2 linked regions of the Struthio camelus genome follow. The protein of the gene in region 2 binds, or shares a complex with, the protein of the main gene of each other region. Links are inferred from orthologs where the notes say so. Each region holds a gene or a part of one and is shown on either strand. Other genes may lie near its edges.

Region 1 (7,984 bases), on a different chromosome or scaffold from region 2:
ACTGGGAGACAGACAACAGCCATTTCTTCTTAACCTTATACAGGACAGTTACGAGTATCTACATTATATCCCTCCTCAGCCATCTCTTTTCCAGGTCGGGAAGTCCTGATCTATGTAGTTCCTCTTAATATGGAAATTGTTCCAGGCCTTGTTGCTCTTTTTTGTGCCTTTTCTGGTTTTACTCTATTCTTTTTTTGAGATGTGGACAATGACCATAACTACATGCAATAGTCAGGACATGGGCACAAGATGGGCTTATAATGTGGGACTGAGGCTTTACTTTCACTGACTGAGTTATATAAATAGCGCTAGTGGAATCACACCAATACTCAAAGTGTGCATAACCTACGCTAATAGATACGATGATCTCTTGGCAAAAGCAAAAATGACCTTGCTGTGTTTGGCCACGTAATAATTTTTGGTATAAATGCATGCACACGCAAACACTTGCAAATATTTAATCAATTCAACAGAGCTGCGCAAAGGGCCTTGTGTCAGGAAAACAAGCCACTCACATCCCATAGGACATCTGTCCCAGTGTGGGAGACGCTTCTGTCATAGAAATGCTCTTAAAACACATTGGCCTCCGTGACAGCGCTGGAGTCAAATTGAGGATAGGGAGAATTTTCTTCTTACCGTGAAAAAAAGCAGCTCTAGTACCATTGTTACGGGTGCCTTTCACCCCTCGTTAGCATGAGGCAAGGCTTGTGGGAAGAAGTAGTATCTTACATTTCTCTAACTGTATCAGCTGATCTAATAAATGTGTTACTTTATGGTCACTTTCTGAACAAGCCCTTTAAACTTCTGACGAGAGGGCAGTTGCCAGCAGAGGTCACCATTGCTGTAGTCGAGTTGAAAGGTGTTGCCGTTCACTAGCTTTTAGTGGACTGAGATTTAAAGGATAGACAAATATTTCTAAACGCACCAGTACTGGTGTAGACTTTTGGTGCTGGAATATTAAATCTACTGGAGTGAAATCATTAATTGTTTTAACTCTTTTGTTTTAAGAGCAAGGTTTGTTCTCGAAATATATGACTAAAACAATAGTAGAACTACGTTACCTCCTTAAAATTATCGATATATTTTCCAAATGATGCCTTCAACTTAATGCAATTAATGTTAATTAATATATATTCAATATCCTGCCAGTTCTAAAGGTATTTTTTAAAGAAACAAAATTGATTAATGAAATGTGCATGATGGAATTTGCATTTACAGGAGCATTTTGTATATGAGCACAGGTGAAATTATGGGATGTATTCTATGGACTGAAGTAATCTAGTTTTTAAATGTGTTTCATCTTTCCTGCTGTTATATGTATTCCATTAAAGAAGGGCATTTTCACTTAAAAATGCTAATTATTACTTAATCAACATTTTACGTATTTTCCTAACCTGTTTTTTTAAATTAACATTTTACAGTGATTACATAGGAGGCCTAATCATTCTAAGTAATAATCATTCTAAGTAACTTAGCATATGGGCTAGAATGATCCTTTGTGCTCTGTAATTCTCCGCTGGAATTAAATGAAGACATCTGAGAAGATAACTTAAGCTTTTGGGTGAGAAAATGGACACTGCTAAGCTAAGAGGATGTGAAAACCATGAGCAAGAAAGCCACACTTACTTACTTTCTTTGCCACCCTGTTGTGAGACTGACAGATCCCTTTAGAGTGAGTGGCTGGGATTGATCAGGATGTGAAATGACTATTACTTTACTGCGCACATCTGCCAGAAGAGCTACTCTCCAGACCTTGCTGAGATTTTTTAGAAAATGATTCATACACCTAACGAGTAATATATTTAAGGGCCAAATCTTTCTTAATCCTGCTCATGTGGACACTCCATTTTATTTTCTTGATCCCATCACTGTAATTTTTTTTTGTGAAAGTGCAGACACTGTTGTAACTTTGTGAGTTTTGGACAAATGTGAGATGATGATTGTCCATCTGAACATGGAGATGGCTTTTTAAAAGGCCTGTTTTTCATAGTACCTGAAACAGCTCAGAACTGCAACAAGTATGAACTTACAGGCAAGTCAGCTTCCTGCCTTTTTGCAGATAATTGTCACACTCTATTTTAGCTTAGCAAAAAAGTACCCAAGAGGCTTTACTGTAATACACTAATGCATGAAAGCACTCATGAATTATCTGCCTAACAGTGACAATGCAACTTCCAAGTTGTGACAACTTGGAAAAACCAGCCTGACAAGCGTGCTCACTTTCACTGTTTTTCTAAAACTTCTTGAGCGTATAAGGAGAATTTAAAGTGAAGAAAACAATTGAAGCACAAACGCTTTTTGTTCTTGGCACACAAATTCCTTTCCTCCCTTGCTGGGGTCCCCGTTCCTGTGTCTGACTGGCGTATCAGATAAAACGGTGTTACTATCACCCAGGATAAATCAATAAACACTGTCAGTTTCATCCTGTCAATAATAGGCAGGCAGCAAGGAGTTGGTAAGCTTTTCCAAGTGTAGTTACAGAATATACAGTCTAAAGTGAACTACAGCTCTGCCTAGAGCTAGAAGGTTTCTGCCTTGTGCCAATTATGTCTGGATTGACCAGAATTCTTATTTATTTATTTCAGAAAAGCAAAAAAAAGAGTTCTTACCTAGAGTAGAATTATCATGGAAAAGAGAGAAAGTGTTACACCATAATGAAAACCAAGACAGCAAAGCATTTTCATATAGAAGTTAACTGCTATACCTGTGCAGATAAAACTAAGGTCTGATTTACCTGGATGAAAAACGATGCGTAAGAATGCCTACATTTCTCTAAGGTTAAGCTGCTTTTACTAAAGATACGTTTCAAGCTTTGAACTTAGCCACAAATGCTTTCTGAACACCTTCCAGATGTGCATGCTATTTAAACTGCATTAATAGATGCAATTTTCAGTCTTACTAGACCAAGCTGTTCTGAACAAATGTTACTTTTAAGCAACCAGCACTCCATGTTTCAAAGGCATCTGATCTGCACCCCTTCAAGAGAGCGAAAATCACAGTACAGCAAAAACATACTGGCAAATTTTAAAGACAGGAAAACTTCCACAACTGATGCAACGGCAGCATTACTTGCTTTGTGAAAACCCTTTGACGGTTGTGGGGTCACTCACCTCAGAGCTGCTATCACTCAACACTGGAGGGAGAGGAAATCCTGAGGGGTGTCCAAGCTGTTTTGTAGTCCGTAGCACCCTAGTCTGTGGACACTTTCCCAAGCCAGACGAGCCATTCACATTCCCTCTGCCTTTCCAGCCTCATTCACTGCTCTCAGGCTCAGCTAGCTGCACTGACTCACAGGAATTAAGCTCCCTCTGGGTCCTAGTGCTGTAAACGTGTGGGAGCTGCACGGACTCGTAGGAATCTAGCCTTTGGCTTGGCGCCTAATCCATGCAGTGATGCACAGATGTGCAGTGAAAGTTTCAAAGCGTGCACTGGCTGTATGACTGAGAAAAAGTGTCAACTTCCTGGTTCCACTGTCAAGAACTGAAATTCTCTTTAAGGTACTTTTTGTCTAAAGAATTTCTGCTTTGCATCTTAATATCTGTGCTGTGTTTAAAGATGAGAGGTCACAAAAGCAAAGCCCCGGGTCCCTGATGAATGGGTCCTTGTGAAAGTGATCCTTAGAGCCCTTTACTCATGTCATGAGTCTATGAAAAAGAATAAGAAGAAACTAACAGTTAACTGATGAAGCAGTGGACTAGGTTGTCTGCAAAAATTGTGCAGTCCCTGTTATCAGATGTCTTTATCAGGGGTCAGCCAAATACTGATCAGGAGTAAGAAGGAAATAGTTGATCCTGACTTGGGGCAGAGGAAAAGATTATATAAAGTGCCTTCCAGCCCTAATGTTTTGTGCTCAACATGCTTACCATAAGCAATAGAGGGAGATGGAAATGTTTCTCCATTATTTTTGTGAAGGAGGATTAAGTGCTTTACCACAGAGCAACAGTGTGTTTTAAGCCCTGAGAAATACAGAGAAGAAATGCAAAAGTGAAAAATTACATGACATTAAACAAATCAATAAACAGTTGACTGACTACATAAACCAAAGGAACTTTTAATACAGCTATGAAGCAGACACCTGGAATTTCATAGTTCTCATACTAGCATAGTGTAACCCTTGCCATTTCACAGAGACCCAAGGCAAAAAGTTAGATCATCCTCTACTGAAAAACAGACCACTGCATTTTATAAACGTGGAAATAATAAAACATCTTTTGATTACATCCAGAAGAGGGCGGACATCTGGAGAGGCTCATGCTTGAAAACCTTCTAGGAAGGGAAAGATGTGTGGAAGGTACTGTGTAAAGGCGTAAAGAAGAAGACAAAGTAGCTTTGAGATAATAATGTTTTTTATATATCACGTGAATGTGATAGTTCTTGAACTCGAACCAAGCATATCCTCTATTTTATTAGAAGTCGTAGACAAGTCTTACATTCATTTTCCACAGTGCCAAAGTTAAGACTGGCTTCAGTGCTAGACCTTTTCTTGGAGGTGATGTCCATTTAAAATTGCCTGAAAAATCCTTAAGAAAATTGCAACACAAAATGCTTAAAACAAATGCTGAAAATACCTTCCTAAGTTCCCAGAATTATGCAGTTCAGATTGGTTTGTTTTTCTAAAAGCGACGGCCCACACAAGATACCAGTCACAGGCCAAACTGTAATGTCTTCATTCACACAGACAGCCATCAGAATTTGTGAAAGTTTTGCCTGTAAAACTTGTCCTCGGGATTTGGCCTTAGATTCATATTTCATTGCAGAAATGCCAGGCTATTCTTGTGTTGGAAATTTGTCTCACTTCATTAGGATATCCTCAGGTTAGGATTTTTTGCTGACAATTTGAAAGAGCATTATAGCTTGGTGTGAGTATAATGAACAGCATCAAAACACCAATATAAAAATATATGCTCTTTTCTGACCAAAAAGTTAGTACATGCTTGTGCTTAGCATCTCTACGTTTGATTTCTTGGCACGAGTTGCATGTGTTTTCTTAAAAGTTAAAAAAGCTATTTTGGACACAGTAAACAATAATACAGTTTGAGTTTGTACTTAATCTGTATCACAAGCACTTACTTTTGTCTAACGAAATTCTCCTCTAGTACCTCATTCCATCATAGCAGCAGGTTCATATAAGCAAGAAAGATAGCTGCACCAGTCCCTAGGAAAACGCACTGGCTTGTATTCTTTTTCCTTATGTTCCCATGTACCCCAAACAAACAGCATTTCTACATTCCTAGCTTCTGGAAAATAGGCGTGCTCCTATGGGTATACTAGCCATGTACAGACGTAATCCCAGGTGGACTGCTATACTTGGAGCTGAGCAGCTGAAAGCGCTGCACAGAGTAGGTTGTATATCTTTCTCTTTTAGCAGTGCTCTGACCCACCTACTTGCACGGATGTTTAACTTTTATCTTTCATGAGTTGGGGGTTCTCTTGCTTAGGCAGGAAATCACTGATCACAAGGTAAAGAACTAATAATGTCAGGCTGAGCAAGGAAAAGATGTATTCTGGAATCAGAGAAGCTGCTGCATAGAGAGAAGTTCTTCTGTGAGCACCAAACTAATGAATCCTGGTTCTCTTAGAGATTTGCATCCAATTATTCTTCTGCCTCTACTACAATAATCCCAAATCTCCTATGACCTCTTGCATGAGCTTCCTTGAACAATTACCTCAATTTTCGCCTAAGAGTAAGTCGATCCATTGTGTTCCAGAGAAGCATTGGCATGTAGTGCGTTGACATATTTTGTTTCAGGAAACCAAAAGCACACAGATCAAAATGAAGAGCAGCACTGTTGAGAGTGGTGACAAGAGGTGAAATGCTTTGTGCTCTCATGAGTCTTGGGCTGTGGCTATTCTGACCATTAGGCTGAGTTCAGTGTTGCCCTAAGCCCCAAAACAACAGCTGTGGATTGTTACAGCCTCTTCCCCCTGCATCAGCACTTCTGTCCAAATAGGTTAGTGAAGGAGGCACAGAGTAGGAAAAAGGTGTTTTGTGTTTATGTGGGTTGTTTAGGACTGTAAGAGGCCTTGGGTACAGGAGGTGAATTCCTGCTGGAGTTGATGTCTTTTGTGCTCCTGAAAGAGTTTCGGGGAAGGTGTTTGAGGAGCAGTGGCTGGGCTTTTCCATTTATAAGCAACTTTCTTTGAGGAACAAAGCTGCCAGAACCAACAAAGTCCTCATTTGTGTCTGAAATCATTGTGAGTATGGAAGTAACGCAGGTGAGCAGAGCTACTGTTTCTAAAATCTTGCTGTCTAGAGAGGTGTCAGGGTGTTAATAAAAGGACCCACAGAGCATGAAAAGCTTTTCAAACATGTCATAAAAGTATAGGGCATGGGATGAGGGTGACAGATCTTGTTTTCTTCAGAGATACTTAATTGTGTGTGTGTGTGCGCGTGCACGTGCGTGCTGACAGCTGCATTCAGTACTTTCTTGTAGTGCTGGGTCTTTACAGGAAAAAAGATAAATCAAAAGTACACCCCCCACCCCAGCTATCTGGAGGTGCTTAGATGTGAATGCAAGAAGTGTTTTAAACGTCTAAAGTGAGGCTTTCAAAAGTGTAAGATAGAATCTGTTTTACCTAAAAGAATATTTATCACTTCCAATTTTATAAACCTCCAGAAAATAGAGCATTGCTATCTTATGTAAGCTTGTTTGACAGCTCTAGTCCTAAAGCTAAATTGAATGTAAAGAGATATTAAACTTAGCTCTTAATACTCAGCTGGAGGAAGCTAGCCCACCTTTGGCCAAATAGATGTTAACTGAGAGACTAGAAGGAATGGTCACAACACAAGTTCTCCTCTTGTATTAGTTTCAAACATGGAAAACCTGATGGACAGGTGGTCTCTTTTGGCTTTGTTAGTTTGTGTAGCATTACATTATAGTGTTATGTGTAGGGCAGAAGCTATTAGCAAAAAGCAGAAGCTCACTCATGGGTCATGAATAAGTAGGTCATACAAACAAGTTCATTACTGATTTACTGTGGGACTCAGTCTCCTGTTTTTTTCTTAACTGCTTCTGCTGCATGGTTTTTCAGTTGAATCGATAACGCATACCGAATGTAGCTTAGCTGCGTCAAGAAATTGATTTGCTCATGATGCATCCCAATATACTGCAGTTCAAAACAAGTGGTGATAGGAAACATTCAGTTATGGTGAGTTATGGACTTGCACTAATATTATTCTTTCTCTTTTGGTTAGTTATAAAGGGTACAGTAAAACAAACCATTTTGCTGTAAAATAAAACATCTCCAAAGCCTGATCTTAGTAAAAGCAAACTGTCTAGTGATCATCCAAGTGCTGTTACAGACAGAATGTAATTCTTATGGTAGTGACATATAGACAAAGCAGAGCTATGAGAATAACTTTACATAGCGTTCCTCTTTGGATTCAGCAGAGGTTTTGCCTGATAACTTATTTGGAAAGACACAGTAACTACTGTATATTACAGTATACATAAGCCTGCAGTTTTGTTAGAATACCTTAATATTCACTGTTGGTTTGCAATGAGGGTAAAATTAGAACATACGTGCTATTTTAAAACAGAAAAGGAACTATGAATTTTGAAAAACAGCACTCAGATGTTTGAGTGCTCTTCTATAGGAGGATAAAAGGTTGTAAGATACTCTGCTTAGTGGCTGCGTGGTTTTATCCCTAGCCATAGCTTGTTGCACTAGACTGAACTAGTGGCTGGGTTGGAGTCGGAAGTCTCTGTGAAAACCACGAAGAGTTGTCAGTCAGGGTTCACTAGTAATGGACTTGTGTGTCTCTTTTGTGGACAAAAGTTTTATAACCACATATGATCTGGTGCACCTTTCACACACGCTTCCGTGACAAGAGCATTTCAAGAGCTAAAGTCAAATGCGTGTTTCCCCTGTTTTGTTGATTGGGAATATGCCACGCAAACTCTGCTAGTGTTAATCCTTCTATAATCCACAGAGTCTGACAGCTGTTTCCCCCCTTCTTTGGGGGTACTAGCACCATCAGTGA
Region 2 (8,544 bases):
CAGCCGTGCAGCACGGTGGAGTTGTGCTCGTACTCCACGATGCGGGTGTGGATGTAGGGTCCCTCGACCAGGGCGGTGCCGTTGAAGAGCCACCGGACGCTGGGCGCCGGGTTGCCGTCCACCGAGAAGGGGATGCACCAGAAGTGTTGCGGGATGGCCTCCTGCAGCAGCAGGATCACAGCCGGGACTGCGCGAGACGGAGCGGCTTTGGGTGGGCGACGCGGGCCGCGGCGGGCGTCCGTCCGTCCGCCCGGCGCCGGCCGACTCCAACGGCCGGAGGTTGCCCGACCCGGCCCCACGTTGGTGGCTCACAGGTGACGTTGAGGACCACGCTGTCCTCCGCCGGCCCGGCCACGTTTTCCGCCCGGCAAGTGATGTCCTTGCGGTTGAGGCTGGAGGAGACGTTGTGGATCTCCAGGAGGATCTCCTGGTCAGAGAGCTGCGGGGAACCAGAGCGGAGAGCTAGCAGGCGGCCGGCACGGTGCCACCGCCGGGCGCCCGCCTTCGGCCAGGACACCACCAGCGAGGTCGAAGCGAGCCGAGAGGCGTCCGCACGCCGAGCTTGCCTCGGTGACGACGGGCACCTCCGGTCCCACGTCGGGGAGCAGCCAGCGCCCCGCGGCCGGCGGCTCGGCGGCGATGTGGCACGTGAGGTTGACGCTGTCGCCTTGCCGCAGCACCGCGTCGGCGTGCTCGATGCGGACGGTCGGGGGCTCTGCCGAGCGGCGGGGCGGTGAGCGGAGCCCGGCTGCCGCCCGCGGCCCCGGCTGCGCCCGAAGGCCGCCCCGCGAGCCCGGCCGCCGTCCGTACCGCAGGCGCGCAGGTGCTGGCTGCCCAGGGGCACGAAGACGCTGCCCTCCCAGCAGCCCAGCGACTGGTTGCCCAGCTCGGCGCGGCTCCCGTTCTGCCAGAGCTGCAGCCAGCGGATGCCGCAGGAGCAGTTGAAGGGGTTTCCCGCCAGGATGCTGGGGACGGGAGGGGACGAAGGTTTGGAGCGGGCCGTCGGAGCCGCCCGCTCGCCCTCCCCTCCCCGGCGACTCACAGCTCCTGCAGCGGCAGATGCTGGAAGGTCTTCCAGGACAGGCTGTGCAGCGCGTTGGACGAGAGGTTCCTGCAAGGACGGACCCCCCCCCCCACCTCCATCAGCAGCCCCTTCGCCGGGGACAGTCGCTGTCCCCACCGCCTCCGGCGTCCCCTCTCGCATCGGGGCCCGTGCGGCACGAAGGTGCCGGGAGCCGGGTGCTGCCTGGGCTCCCGGCTCGATCGATGGGTTTCCCACTCAGCGGTAAAATCCCTGTGCCCGCTTCCCCCTCCCCGCCCCGGCCGCTGCCACGGATCGAGTTTTGCTGCCGTGCCGCCGGCGAGCGCTGGGGAGGCTGGAAGCCATCGATCGGCCCCTCGGCGGGGGGACGAGCCACCCCGGGGACAGCGCGGGGTTGGGGGGGGTGCACAGGGGGGCTACTCACACGTGGCTCAGCCTGGGGGTGTCCTGGAAAGCATCCACGGAGATGTGCTGCAGCCCCGAATTGGCGATGGTGCTGGGAAGCAAGGAAGGACTGAGCATCCGTATCCCGACCCCGAATGTCCCTGCCCCGCCACTCCGGGGGGGCAAACATCCCTCCAGAGCCACCCTCTGCCTCCCCACGGTGGGATCAAGCACCAGGGAACTCCGGGGGGGGGGGTCTCCCTATCCCCATCCCGGCTCGGGGATGCTCACAGGTTCCTGAGGTCCCGGAGCATCCTGGTGTCAGCCCGGGTCAAGGTCGTCAGCGTCCTCTGGTTCTCGATGACCCTGCTCGGCAAATGAGCCCGGCGCAGGGATCAGGCCCCCCCGGCCGCCACTCCGGGGTCCGGCCCCCCTCGGTGGGATGCAGGATCTGGCAGCCGGAGGCTCAAGCCGCGACGGCTGGGAAAGGCATGCCGGGGAGAGCAAGCGGGTCGCCAGCATCCCCGTCCGTGCCCCGCTTGGCACCCACGCCATCGCGCCACCGCAAAACGCAGGGCGGAGGGAACGGGACGCCCGCCCCATGCCGCGGCCCCGCAACGGCAGCCCTGCTCCGCGGGCCCCCGGGCCTCGGTTTCCCCCTCAGCAGGCAGGGACGAGATGGGGAAGGGGGGAGAGGACAGCGGCGGGGCAGCAGCTCTCTGTCCCCGGTTGCAATACCCAATCCCGGGGGTACTGAGCCCTCCCAGCCGAGCACCAGCGTGATGCATCCCCTCCGGACCGGCGCGGGAACAGGACTGGGGCGCCCCTGACCTCGGCATCCTAGGGGCCGCTCGGCAGCCAGGCAGCCTGCGATCTCACCCAGCGAGCGAGTTTGCCGGGTCTCAGCCTCTTTAACCCCCAGGGTGCAAACCCTCGGTGGGTCCCCACCTCTGCTTGCGCCCGCCTGTGTCCCTGTGGCATGACTTTTTTTTTTTTTTTGGGGGGGGGGACACTGAGGTGCTGTCTCCCTCTGCTTTCCCCAGGGTGGGCAGTGATGGAAACCCCTTTCGGGAGCGACTGCTGGGTTTCACCACCCTGCCACACCCCAGGGGCTGCTCCAAGTCCTCAGGGGGCCAGCTGGGGATTTGAACCTGTGACCGAGGGGTTCTGGTCCCGCTGAGCCCCGACCACCGCGGGGTGCCCCCAACCATGCAGACCCCCTGCACGAGGCTGCGGGGACGATGGAGACAAGGGAGGCTGGGACGGCCGCGGACGGGGGTCTGCCAGGGAGCACCGCGTCCCCGCCGCCATCCGCCCCACCCCGCGAGCAGCAAACAAAGAGCTGGCAGCGCCCTGGCCCGTGGGGAAACTGAGGCACGGAGGCATGCCGCAGGGCGATGCGGCAAGGCCGGGGCTGCAGCAGGGGGAGGAGGAGGAGGACCCAGGAGGCCAGGCACCCCGTTATCACCCAAACCACCCATCGCCCTCAGCAGCCTCCTCGCTCAAGCTGCCCCCTCCCCAGCACGCATCCCAGTGCAGGGGGAAGGATGAAGGCAGAGGGGATCCCTCCAACCCAACCAGTTCCGGGAGCATCCCCAAACCCATCCCGCTCCCCAGCTGGGTACCACCACCGCCCCCCTCTCCCTGCGCCGGACATCCCTGCCTAGCAAACACCCCTTCGGGTCTGGGGAGGGGGGGGATCCTAGGACTCGACCTCCCCCCTCCCCATCCCACCCCGCAAGCTTCGAGGCGAGGTGCCAGCACCCCGGCTGCACCCTCGGCTCCCACCAGCATCACGGCTGCGAGAGGGGAGGGGGCCGCACCTCGCCCGGAGCCGACCCCGCAGCATCCTCCCCACTCACACGTCGCTGAAGGTGCGGGCGCCCAGGAGCCCGGCCAGGCTGCCCAGGGTGTCGGGCTCCCGGCAGAGCAGGGTGCCGGCGCCGGGGCAGCGGCAGGGCGCCGGGCAGGGCTCGGCGCTGCCCGGTGCCAGCAGCAGCGCGGCCAGGCAGAGCCAGGCGGGCGGCGGCGGGAGCATCGCGGGGCCGCGGCAGCCCCGCTCGCCGCCTCCCTCGCACTTGCCGCCCGCAGCATGTGTGCGCGCAGGATTAAAGGCAGCGCAGGACCAGCCTCCCGGGGAGGAGCCAGCATCTCCCCTCCCGCGGGGACGGGCAGCGCCGGCATCGGGGGTCCCAGCTCTGCCGGGGCGGGGGAAGCGATGGGGAAGGGGGCAAACAGGCAGGCCGCCCCCCCCCACACACACACCCCTCCCAGGGCCGGGTGCGCCGTGCTGGGGTCCGGTGCGGCTGGGCGGCAGCGGGCAGCCGCTTCCCGGGAAGCCCGTGAGTCACCGTGACTCGCTTCCCGGGAAGCCCCTTGGTCCGGCCGCATCCTGCGCCGGCCTCCCCCGGCGGCTCCTGGCCGGCCGCAGCCGCCCGCCGCCTGCAAACCGGCACCCTACAGATGCAAATCTGCACCCCGTGCCTGCAAGCCGGCACCCCGCAGCTGCAAGTCAGCACCCCACACCTGCAAAGCAGCACCCTGCAGCTGCAAGTCAGCACCCCGCACCTGCAAATCTGCACGCCGCACCCCCAAGCCAGCACCTCACACCTGCAAAGCAGCACCCTGCAGCTGCAAATCTGCACCCCGCACCCGCAAACCTGCACCCCGCGGTTGCAAACTCGCTGCTCGGCACTTGCAAACCTGCCCCCCGCCGCAACTCCCACCACCCGCACAAGCTCCGCGCCCCGGCGGTTTGCACCACAGCCCAGCACCCTGCGCTTGCAAACCCCGCACCCCCACCCACCCCCCTCCAACCCAGCACCCTGCACAAAACCAACCGCTCGGGTCCCCCGAGCCACAGAGGCAGCTCCCATCTCTCCCCCCCCGCTGCTGCCCAGCACCGAGTCCAACACACCCGGAGGCCAGGCATCCTGCATGCATCCCCTGCGCCATGCACAACCCCTGGGGCCTTGGCGTGGAGCGTGCACGCACACACACACACACGCACACACACACACACACACACGCACACGCACACACACACACACATACACACACGCACACACACACCCTCCGCTGCTTGGCTCCAGCCCAGAGCCGGCTGCACTTAAGGGACAGGAGAGCCCCAACGCAGCATCACTGCTGGGCTCATGGGGCCACCGCTGCTCTCCGTCCCTCCCTTGCCCTGTGCCAGGGACCGGGGGGCTCAGCCCCTGCCGGGACCCTCGACGAAGGCCTCAAGGAAGCCCCAACCCCAGCAGGTCTCACCTCTGGCCTGCAGCTGTGGCCCAAAATCTCAAAGCACCGCCGAGCTGCTGCATCCCAGAGGACCCCGGTAGCATCAGGGTGCAGAGAGGTGGGTGAAGGAGGGGGGGGAACATTCGGTGGCACAGTGGCCCCGTCCCCAGCTGTCACCCCTCGTGACAACCCTGGCAGGGACCCTCCTCCCCCGGGGGAGGCAGGGCATGGCTGCTGCTGCGGCGGTCCAGCACCCGCCGGCGCTGAGCCCTGCATCCCACCGGCCCCCATCTCCTTGCAGCCGCTCCGCCAGCGGGGACCGGGAGGACACGTGCCATCACCGTCCCCTGCCCCTGCTGCCCCGGAGCAGCGGGTTATGCATGAACGAGAGAGCTGGCCGGCTCCCCGGGATTCGGCAGCACCAGGCAGGCGGCTAACACGTGGCGCTGGGGCCGGCAGCAGCCCTGATGCCGCTGCCCGTCCCCGAGCCCGCGGGCGGCAAGGACCCAGGGGGCTCCAGGGCGCTGCGGGGTCAGCTCTGGCCCTTGCGCCCTCGGGGGTGGCTCAGGCAGGCACCGAGTTTGGTACGTTCTCAGCTGGGGGCTCTGGCAGGCAGCTCGGTCCCTGGAGCGCAGGAGCGAGCCACCCTCTGGCTGCGGTGAGCCGGGGGCAGACGTGGGGCTCAAGCGACGCCGTGCTGCTCCCCATCTTCCACTGCCCGGATGTTTTATCCCCAGAAACATTTTTTTTCACCCCAGAAACCCCCGCGGTGCCTGAGCCGGGGGCATGCAGGGAGCAGCCGGGGCCGGTGGCGGGGCAGTCCCGTACCCGGCTCCCCGCCGGGTGCCGCGGCCACCCACCGCGACCCCCACAAACCAGAGCACCGCCAAAGCTTCGTCCCGCTTTATTTCCGCTCGTCCCGCGGCCACAGAGAAGACAGCGAAGCCCCTTTGACGGACCAGCATGGCCCCGGATGCCAGTCCCAGCACCAGAGACTTGGGGGGGGGGGCACTCAGGGAGGTGGGAGGGTGGTCCCAGGCATCTCCCACCCCATGCCTCAGTTTCCCCATCTGTAAAACGGGGTTAACGCTACTGACCTGCTTCGCAGATGGCCTGGGGCATTAGAGCAGAGGCAGAGGCGACAGCGGGCGGCGCGGGAAGGGCGGCCCCGACCCCCCAAATGCTGCTCCCCACCCCGCAGACCCCCATTTCCCGCCCCGACCACCCCGCTTCAGGAAGCGCCCGGTGCGATCCGCTCCCGGCCGCGCGGAGGACGGCACCCCGCCACGCCGGGCATCTTTTGGGGGTTTCTTTTCGCCACCCGCTTCCCACGCTCTGGGTTTGCCTTTCCCCAGGGTGCTCCAGCGCGTGCAGCTCCTAGCGCGGTCCCCCCCCCCCCCACCTTTCCCTTCCCAGCAATAAATAACGCCAGCAGCCCCCCCGCCGGTCCGGGATGGACGGAGGGGGTCTCGGGGGGCAGCCGGACGAGCACGTATGGGACGGGAGGAAAAGTCCGGAGCACCCGGGGAAGCCGGGATGGGGGCAAGGATGGAGGGGGTCAGAGGCTGGGTGCCCCGTTCGGGAGCCAGCCACGGCTGCGGTCCTTGCGGGCGGGCGGCGGGGAGGCGGGCGGCTCGTGCTCCTCGGGGAGCGGGTCCGTCTCGGCGTCGGAGGGCTCGCCCGAGCTGCGCCGCCCGTTCTCGGGGCTGTAGAAGAAGGAGAGGGTGCGGAAAGCGGGCGCCATGTGGTCCTTGATGCGCGCCAGGAGCTGGACGAAGGAGGGGCGCTGGCGCGGGTTCTGCTGCCAGCACAGGCACATCAGCTCGTGGCTGCGGGAGAGAGGGCACCCGGTTGGGTTTGTGGGCCCCGGGTCTCCCCCCCCCCCCCCAGGTCACCCCATGTCCCTCCCATGTGCCTCACGGCTCCGCTGCCCGGAGCCAGGCCAGAGGCCAGGGTGATGGGCGCCGCAGCCGGCGCTGCTCTCGCCACTCACAGTTTGTCGGGGCAGTTCTCGGGTCGCTCCAGGACCCCGTTGTCCATGACGAAGCGCAGGACCTGCTCGTTGGACATGCCCTGGTAGGGCTGCTCGGCCAACGTGGCGATCTCCCAGAGCACCACCCCGAAGGACCTGCCGGCAGGCACCGCCCGTCAGCCCCGGGGACGCCCCTGCGGTCCCCCAGCTCAGCGCCCGCACGCCCCAGCACCCACCAGACGTCCGAGTGCGTGTTGAAGATCCCGTCCTTCAGGGCCTCGGGGGACATCCAGCGCACGGGGAGCAGCCCTTTGCCGCCTTTGCGGTAATAATCCGTCTCGTAGATGTCCCGGGTCATGCCGAAGTCTGGAGGAGGAGGAGGAGGCGTGAGGCCCGGGAGGTGCAGGGGGCTGGGGCCGTGCCCACCCGCCGCCGGGCGCCCACCTCCGATCTTGACGGTGAAGTCCTCGGAGACCATGCAGTTGCGGGCAGCGAGGTCCCGGTGCACGAACTTGTTGGCGTGGAGGTAGGCCATGCCGTCGGCGATCTCGCCCGCCATCTGGATCATGTCCTTGAGGGCGGGCGGGGGCAGCCCAGGGTTGTTCTGCACCGAGCGCAGAAAGAGAGAGATGGGGTTGGGTGCACGCGGTGCCGGGACCCCCAAAAAACAGAGCTCGAGGGCATCCGGGGCGAGTGATGGCCGATTTGCAGCCCTCTGGGGCCCCGCTGCTGCTGCAGCCCCTCACCTCGGCGTCAGGCCTGAGCGAGCGCAGATAGCTCTTCAAGTCCCCACGCGTCATCAGCTCCATGATGACCAAGGCCGGTTGGCCCTGGGACACGACGCCGAGGAGCCGGACCTGGGCAGGGGTCAGGGCGGGCAGCGGGTGAACGACAGCAGACCCTCCAGCGGCGTCCTCCCTCCCTCCACGTGTCCCGGCCGCCCACCTACCACGTGGTGGCACTTGAAGGCTTTCATGACGGAGGCCTCGTTGAGGAACTCAATGCGCTCCCGCATGGTGGCCAGCTCGTTGACCGTCTTCAGGGCCACCTGGGTCTCCTGGCCCTCGGCCTCGATGTCCTGTGCCAGCCCCTCGTACACCATCCCGAAGGAGCCCTGCCCCAGCTCCCGGATCACGGTGATCTTCTCCCGCGACACCTCCCACTCGTCAGGGATGTACACTGCGGAGCGAGGTGGGGACCGCTCCATCACCGTCCCCGTCACTGCGGGCATAGCCCCCCCAAGGGGCTTGGGGGTCCCGGCTGGGTGAACCCCTCAAGCCGCCCGCAAAGGGTGCAGAGCTTTGAGGGCAAAGTGTGGGGATGCTGGGACCATGCAGCAAGGACTAGCTCAGGGATGAGCTCCCACTGGGCACCTCGGGGACCTCCCTGTCTCATGCCTCAGTTTCACCCCCTGCGAGGGTCCTGCAGGGAACCCCTCCTGGGAGGCACATCTGCCCATCTCTACGTACTGTCCGAGGCGCTGAAGTATTCGGGATTGACAGAGGCGTAGAGGGTCCCGCTGGGGTAACCGTCGTTGCTCCTGCGAGGGGTGGGCATCGCTCAGGGGCCGCTCCTGCCCCGGCCCGGGAAAGGGATGGAGGGACGAGAGCACAATGCCACCTCCCCAGCCCTTCCCCAGCCTCGGCTCGGTGGCTCCGTCCGCGGGGGCGGCCGGGGCTGTGACCAAGCCTGGCAGTTGGGGACGGGGGGGTGCTACCTCTTCTTGTTGTAGAAGAAGACGAAGACGGCGAGGCAGGAGATGAGCACCATGAGGACCACAGGTGTGACGGTGAGCAGGATGTAGAAGCTGCCGGAGTCCTCCTCGGCTGCTGGGAACACGTGCCCGTGGGCGAGGGATGGGTCTAGCTCCCGCTGTGCCAGACCCTGCACCCCAGCACAGCCGGAC

Evidence for each region. Proteins that work in one complex are often made in the same cells at the same time.
Region 1: the proteins of NTRK1 (region 2) and NGF are in contact, whole or in part, in a crystal structure (PDB 1WWW), measured with the Homo sapiens proteins. The link is inferred for Struthio camelus from reciprocal best matches to the Homo sapiens genes NTRK1 and NGF. Residues at the interface, in NP_002520.2 of Homo sapiens: His291, Val294, Glu295, Met296, His297, Cys300, Pro302, Phe303, Ser304, Leu333, Glu334, His343, Gly344, Cys345, Arg347, Thr352, His353, Met379, Asp380, Pro382; in NP_001424474.1 of Homo sapiens: His125, Pro126, Ile127, Phe128, Arg130, Gly131, Glu132, Phe133, Ser134, Ser138, Ser140, Trp142, Tyr173, Phe175, Arg180.

Annotation. Positions count from the first base shown.
Region 1 is NC_090965.1:10,274,782-10,282,765, forward strand, and holds the start of NGF (beta-nerve growth factor), read right to left. Parts: upstream 3,403-7,984; 5' UTR 3,111-3,402; intron 1-3,110. UniProt on the Homo sapiens protein: Nerve growth factor is important for the development and maintenance of the sympathetic and sensory nervous systems.
Region 2 is NC_090971.1:3,478,646-3,487,189, forward strand, and holds the start of NTRK1 (high affinity nerve growth factor receptor), read right to left. Parts: upstream 3,504-8,544; 5' UTR 3,465-3,503; coding exon 3,289-3,464; intron 1,793-3,288; coding exon 1,718-1,792; intron 1,539-1,717; coding exon 1,467-1,538; intron 1,112-1,466; coding exon 1,043-1,111; intron 966-1,042; coding exon 811-965; intron 716-810; coding exon 567-715; intron 440-566; coding exon 313-439; intron 188-312; coding exon 1-187. Other genes in the region: INSRR (insulin receptor-related protein), read right to left, coding at 6,225-6,495, 6,660-6,794, 6,875-7,004, 7,083-7,242, 7,385-7,495, 7,588-7,817, 8,108-8,178, 8,356-8,464. UniProt on the Homo sapiens protein: Receptor tyrosine kinase involved in the development and the maturation of the central and peripheral nervous systems through regulation of proliferation, differentiation and survival of sympathetic and nervous neurons.